Kluyveromyces lactis: one gene and its partner. Each later gene encodes a partner of the first gene's protein in a complex. Links are inferred from orthologs where the notes say so. Each region holds a gene or a part of one and is shown on either strand. Other genes may lie near its edges. The genes, in order: MDM20 and NAT3.

Evidence for each region.
Region 2: MDM20 (region 1) and NAT3 share a complex: the UniProt entries of both Saccharomyces cerevisiae proteins name them as parts of the N-terminal acetyltransferase B (NatB) complex. The link is inferred for Kluyveromyces lactis from reciprocal best matches to the Saccharomyces cerevisiae genes MDM20 and NAT3.

The regions. Positions count from the first base shown.
Region 1 is NC_006041.1:1,575,168-1,579,559, forward strand, and holds MDM20 (Mdm20p), read right to left. Parts: upstream 2,955-4,392; coding exon 642-2,954; downstream 1-641. Other genes in the region: ribosome biogenesis protein BRX1, read left to right, coding at 3,567-4,392. UniProt on the Saccharomyces cerevisiae protein: Non-catalytic subunit of the NatB N-terminal acetyltransferase, which catalyzes acetylation of the amino-terminal methionine residues of all proteins beginning with Met-Asp or Met-Glu and of some proteins beginning with Met-Asn or Met-Met.
Region 2 is NC_006038.1:984,333-987,215, reverse strand, and holds NAT3 (peptide alpha-N-acetyltransferase complex B subunit NAT3), read right to left. Parts: upstream 1,266-2,883; coding exon 672-1,265; downstream 1-671. Other genes in the region: SCD6 (Scd6p), read left to right, coding at 1-496; KLLA0_B11253g (uncharacterized protein), read right to left, coding at 1,672-2,883. UniProt on the Saccharomyces cerevisiae protein: Catalytic subunit of the NatB N-terminal acetyltransferase, which catalyzes acetylation of the amino-terminal methionine residues of all proteins beginning with Met-Asp or Met-Glu and of some proteins beginning with Met-Asn, Met-Gln or Met-Met.

The DNA of each region.
Region 1 (4,392 bases):
ATCCAACACAGGAACAAACCACAAATAAGATGAAACGTGGATTGTATGAGAATACCTGTACCTACAGCTAAATATCAACCTTACCACGCATTAAAAAACGCGCTTTTAAACAATTAACTCCACGAAAGATCGCCATAACATTACTGTTTTTTGTCATTTGCCTTTATATAACAGAAATTGTGTTGATGTTTTTTTTTTTTCAATTTCAAAAATAGATTTTTTGCTGCTAAAACTAAGCAGAGCCAAGATTTGACATCTCCAGCCGAAGGAATGTCATTTACAGCCGTGGAAAATCGGACGGTGCAGAACCCTGATGCCTTATTTACGTACCTACCTATGACATTATACACTGTTTACGGTTTATTTCGTGTCTTGTTTCCAGTACAGGGGGGAGACCGAGTACAGGAGTGAATTGGGGGATTTTTACTTCCAACTTTATCTGTGCAAAGTCATTAGTAATGATAAGTCTTTTATCTTCCCAGTTCCTATTGATATCTCGATGCCCTTTTTCGTACCTTTCTTCGCAGGCTCGCGCACCGTTTAGGGAAAACTTGTGCAACCGTTTTTCTTTTTCCTTTTGTCTCGTTCGTAACACGTGCCTGGTATCTCAGGTGTTTAGTATGTATAGGATATCTAGTTCCCTATATGTTACGGATTGATTTTGACATCTGGGTGATTTCAGTAGCAATGTCACCGGTTAGTTTTGAGTATGAGACCGTTTCCAGTAGTTTGTTGCCGTTACCAACCGATTGGACCATATCAGCGTACGATTTGAACATCGGGACGCAAGTATCTCTTGTCTCTTTTAACTTGGTCTTTATCAGTTGCTTGACGCTTTTGTCCTTGATGCGTTTCATTTGGTCTAGTGACTTTAACGTTGCCAAGGTGATTAAATAGCTATGGTTCAATTCCCATGTAGACTTGCTGATTTCTGGACACTGTTCTATTAGCATCGCCATGGCCTTGTAGTCTATGGCCTCTGTTTCCAGGGAGTTGTAGAGTAATTTGATGAGTTGCCAGGTCCATAGTTCGTGCTGAGACATCAATTCGCGCAACTCTTCATCGTTTGTGGTAACGAGTGTATCGTCGATGAACCTATTGCGTTCGTTTTTAGTTAGGCTGTAGAAGATCAACTCTCTTGTAATGCTGATCTTCAACCATTTGGTACCGACGTGGATTGGTGCAAGCACCGTTTGGAATCGGGTCACATCGTCTGTACCAAAAATGTCAAAATCTCTGTTATCGCTCCAGTTTTCGTTGTGGAAGTTGTTTTCGCCGAACGTGTTCAAACTCTCAATGAGTGGTTTGTATTGGTCAAGTTTCTTCTCGTTCAATAGCCTGGACATTTGCAACGTTTCCACCATAGCGTCCCACCTGGTGAACGATTGGAAGATCCTCTGGTAAAATTCTACGATTCCAGGTACTTTGCACCAACTTCTACGTTCAAATGAGGCAACTAGGAACCCACTCATGTTCTTTAACGATGAATAGATCGCCTGTGGCTGTAGGCTTCTTTGACAATACTTGTAGTTCTTGTTAGGCAGGAACGTCGAGGAACGTGTGAAGAGCCAGTGGTTTACCAAATCGTTTTGAACATTCTTGATGTTCAACGTCTCCAAATGGGCAATGGCTTTCTCTGGTAATCCCAGATACATGTATAAGAGAACAAGCCATACCCTGGTGTCATAGTTGAAGGGGTCTTCTGCTTGGTAACCTTCCAAGAGCGAAATGGACGTAATGACGTTCTCTAAGTTCACTTTGGAGTCTTGGCATAGGTCTTTCACGATTTCAAGGATGAAATACGAGCAGTTAGAGTAATCTGTCTTTGGCTTTGTTGACAAAGATTCCTTATGTTTCAAGAACAATTCCAAATTATCACCTTTGCCGAACAATTGAGCAACAGCTTTGTCGTGTATCAGCCCCGAAGGCAGCTTTGAAAACATGGTCTCGATTTTCACTGGGTTCAATTCCAAGCTATGAAGATCGATTGGACAACTAGGTTTATCATGATATTTCTCGATGAACTGAAACAGGTAGTGATCTAGCCTATCGTCATAAAGTTTTGCTGCTGCGACTCTTGCTAGTATGTAATTTCTCGTATTCTTGATTTCCAAAACTTCCAATAACTCATCGAATGACTTGCCAAGTTTGTAACTTGCATCTATAATCTTTTGCAAAATACCATAATCGTCAAGGTTATTCAATAACGAGATTCCATGTTTCCAAATGAGTTTATAATCGTCTAATTTCACCAAATGGCCCATAAGGAAGTTTTTCAAATAAAGGTCTAAGTAAGTACCATGTTTCCAAAACTTGAGGATCTCGTCCACGATCTCCTGTGATTTATCCTCAAACAATTCACAAACTTTACAGAAAACGATCAACTCTTGCTCATTCTCAAAAGGTTTCAAATCGCTTGTCAATTTATATGTCAACTTAGGTAAAAGATCCAATTCCCTTTCGTTAATGTTATCTTTATCCAACTGAAACCATACTACAGTAGCAATACTGTTCCAGAATTGGAACAATCTCGATTTCGATTTTTCATTGACTCGTGGCATCTGGAAACTACTCTTACTCAAATGTCTCCAATTTAAATCCCTCAATGACTCCAAGAACCAATCATAACATGTCTCCGAATTACCGTATTTCATCATTGCTCTTTCATAAGGTTCCAATGCACTGGTGGTGTCAAAACCTAATTCCAACAAAAATCGATGGCACATTGATAGCGATTTCGCATCGCTTGGAGGAGATTTGGCATCCAAGATCAACTTTAACCCATTTTCAAAACTATATTTCGCAGGAGATTGCCTGTACTTGACATATTGCTCTAACACTTTGTAATAAGTGGCGGATGGGTACCGTTTCTGCAATGATGCAACAAACTGTGAAGCTTTCTTAAACAGTTCCCTATCTAATAGCTGAAAAAGCTGATGATCTTCAGAGTTCATATCAACAGTTTCCACTCTTCGTGTTGGTCGATATCAAATCTAACAGATCAAACAGCAACGAACACCGTTACTGCCAGACATACCGGGTTGTTCTACGAACGACGTGCGTATGAGGTTGTTCATTAGAAGTTTGAATGCTGAATTAAGCCAATATCGTAATTTTTCAGTCTTGATTACCCGGATAATAAACTATAACTGTATGTGTATCCATAAATGTAAACGGCACAGCCTAACAAGGGCATCAGCGCTCTTACTGCTTGAAATATAAACGCAAGACCTCACCATACAATCCCCACCCGCGTTGAATCTGATAGAAGCCAGTTGGCAGACGATACGAACATTTTCTTTTCGAGAAACTATCCTTTTCTATTTTAAATCATCACTGATGAGCCTTAGTTTCTTTTTCGGTACATTGAAAATTTTTGAAAAGTTAGAAAAGGCGATGAGATGAGATGAGATGAGATGAGATGAGATGAGAAGAGGTATTGAACAAGGTTGTCCTGATCCTTCCAATCTATACATCGTCGGTCTAAACACTTTGAGATTATTGTATTACACTTGAGTAGTTGGAAGGAAGAAAAAGCCAAGAACTGCTAAGCAAATCCTTCTATAATGTCGAGTATTTTCAAGACTTTGTCTCGTAAGGATAAAGACGGTAAGAAGAACAAAAATAATGCGGCTAACAGTGACAGTAATGAGAAACAGTTCATGAATAAGCAACGTACCTTACTTATTACGTCCAGAGGTGTTACTTATAGACATCGTCATTTGGTTCAGGATTTGAACAGTCTTCTACCACATTCGAGAAAGGAACCTAAGTTGGACACGAAGAAGGATCTAGGACAATTGAATGAGATTGCGGAATTGTACAACTGTAATAACATTATATTCTTTGAAGCTAGAAAGCACCAGGATTTGTACCTATGGCTATCAAAGCCACCAAATGGACCAACAATCAAGTTTTATTTGCAGAACCTACATACCATGGACGAATTAAACTTCACTGGCAACTGTTTGAAGGGATCCAGACCAATATTGTCATTTGATGGTAGATTTGATTCTGAACCGCACTACCGTTTAATTAAAGAACTTTTTATCCATAACTTCGGTGTACCACCTCAAGCTAGAAAGTCCAAGCCATTCATTGACCATATCATGTCTTTCAGTATAGTTGACGAAAAGATCTGGGTAAGAACGTATGAGATCTCGCATGAAGCTAGGAACAACGTTGAATATGAGGATAAAGAAGAAGATGAAACGTCGTTAGTTGAAATTGGCCCACGTTTCGTGATGACACCGATTTTGATCCTTGAAGGTTCATTTGGTGGTCCAAAGATCTACGAAAACAGACAATACGTATCGCCAAACTTCGTTAGATCTCAAATTAAACAACAGGCTGCCAAGGAAGCTAAGACCAGAGCCGAAGCTGCTGTTGAAA
Region 2 (2,883 bases), on another chromosome or scaffold:
GCAAAAACAGCAGCAGCAAAGACAGCAGACCCGCCAACAGCCTGTTACCGAAAAGAAAGTTCCTAACCAGCAACAGCAGAAGTCTGCGGCTCCTGCTGCTCCTGTGGCTGCGGTGGCTCCTTCTGCTGTTCCAGATTCTGAATTTGATTTCGAAAGTAACAACGCCAAATTCCAGAATGCTGAAAAGCCCAGAGAATCAGATATAGAACAAGAGAAGCAAACCTCCAAGACAGATGAGATTTTCTACGATAAAAAATCCTCATTCTTTGATTCCATTTCAAGTTCCGCCGTAGAAAACTCGTCTTCTGCCAAATGGGAAGAGGAACGCCAGGTCAACTTGGATACTTTCGGTCAAGCCAGACCAAGAAACAATGGTCGTGGCGGCTTCAGAGGTCGTGGTGGATATAGAGGTAACCGTGGCGGTAACCGCGGTGGCTTCCGTGGTGGAAATCGTAATGCTGCCAACAAGCCACCAGTCCATGATGTTGAATCTTAACAGAACCCCATTAAATACCTATTATCTCAACTACCTCTTAACACACCGGGAAATTGAAGCTAACACGAAATGAATCGAGCAATCTATCGAAGTAAAAGCAGGGAAAGACGCATGTGTAACATAGAAACACTAAGTATACAAATTTAAAAGCTATTATAATTTTAAAAGTACAGCATTAAAACCGTATGTCCATCGGCAAGCAATTATGTTTCCGTCCATCAGCACGAAGACTTTTTCCCTGGTCTCTTTCCATCCCATGTCTCATGTCAAAGGCATCCTTGAGGTCATTTGGTTTTGTTGACCGGGAAGGTATTGGATCAGTTTGCGAGTTGTAATATCCTACAACTCTTCTATAGACAGAATATCCCAATTTTTCATATAAACTGATCGCCAATTGGTTATTGCATTTCACAAATAAATCAATAAAGTTCACATTATGCGGGGAGTTATCTGTTATGGTTTTTAATGTGTCACATAGCATCGATGCAAGCGATATTCTCCTGAACCTAGGTGATATCGTCACAGCAGTAATGTGTGCATGCCAGTCTTGTCCTTTTCCCTCTGTTTTACCCATCATATATCCCGATATTTCATATTCCTCTGAACCGTGCAGCGGAGAAGTCATCTCTATGCTCTTGAACATTAGCGATGGCCATAGAATTAGATATTCAAGATAAAACTCAATAGGAAAGTTCTCTGTAAATGTATCTAGATTCACTGCATTTAAACTGAAAAAATCAGTAGCCTCAAATGGCTGAACAGATGTCATATTTCAAACGTTGCTGTAGTACTAGCAAGTCGTTGCTTAGCGAGTTATCTTGTTCCCGGTAACCTTTTTTTTTTTAGGTGCTGCGAAGGTTCAAATTGGTTGAATCAACCTTTACATGTTTCTTTGAAAGATGTGACAGTGTAACTCAGGTCACGTGAGTACAATTTTCTTCGAAAGAGGAGGTCTATCGAGAAGATTAACGCCATTTGTTCCACTAGTAATGGCTCAATACTAGGTACACGCCCTCCGCTCGACGGAGTGGCGTTTTTCTGTTACAGCTTATATGTTTATGATACTTCAGTTATACATTAACAAACTCCTTCTGAGTTCTATCACTGAAAATAAGGTTTGGATCTGAAAAGTAGAAAGAAATAATAATATATTAACTATGATGAACTATATATGACTACTTTAGCTTCCACATCACCAACTTCTTTGAGGCAAGCGAAACGCAAATGCTATCTTTGTAAATGTCTAAAGACTTAATTCTATCCTCTTTGCCATATTTTAGGGGCCATGTGTCAGATTTCCGTAAATCCACGGCATATAATCCGTTATCTGCTCCAACGACTAAACCACCAAGTGAATAAGACACTTGCAAAATAGGCTGAGAATAACTATCCTGTGGTACTACAGTGGCAATATTCTGTAAGATAGAATCGTAATGCGTCTTTGTGGTGGTGGTTACTGTCTCAGTAATTGATGCATTGTTACTGATATATTCGTCTAGAACACTCCGTTGTGGGATGGAAGAGGAGTTGACAGACAAATCTTCAACAGTATAATCATCCAAGCTCGGAACTTTTGTGACAATAATTCGCATATATGGAATATGGGATGTAGCGACAGCAAGGATTGTTGTGCTATTTATCTGTAGGATGTGAGAATTTATAGGATGCCAAGACGGTGTGAAAGAAGTGATAAGCATATCGGAAACGTTGAAAGAATGGGTACTAAATTGTGCCGTATTTAAAGCAATGTTAGCAACATGATGTATTTGATGATTTCTGAATTTGAATATCATAATTTGAGTAAAATCTTGTCTTGCTAAGAATAACACAGGACATCCGTCCTCAGAGAATGCTAACTGTAGTGCGGTACACACAGAAAGGAGCTTATATTCACTTACCTTACTCGTTTCTTCCGTTTCCAAATTGTAAACGTAGGCATTAATTGTGTTATTCAACGAGCAATAGAAACAGAGTATCTTTCCATCTTCTAATAACACCATTTCCATGGCCATTACAGCTCTTCCAGGTAAATTAAAACTCCACGATTGACTGTTGACACCATCAACCAAGTTTCTTATATTAACCTTACCGTCAATTGTACCCGTATAGTGAAATTTTTCTGTTATAGGACCAAAATATTTGATGATGCCCGGCTGGCTAATCGAATCTACCGTCACATTATTATGATCGACATCTGATACGATCAATTTTTTATCGACTGTGGCACAGGCAAGAAGATTATCCGTCAAAAATTTCGTCTTTATAACAAGAGATCTCTGCTCTGATGTCGATACCACTTCTTCCCATGCTAATCGGTGGTTCCAACTAGGTATCGTAAATTTTGTAACATTCTCAGGATCAAGCTCACTGTTAAGGGAAACAGTTTT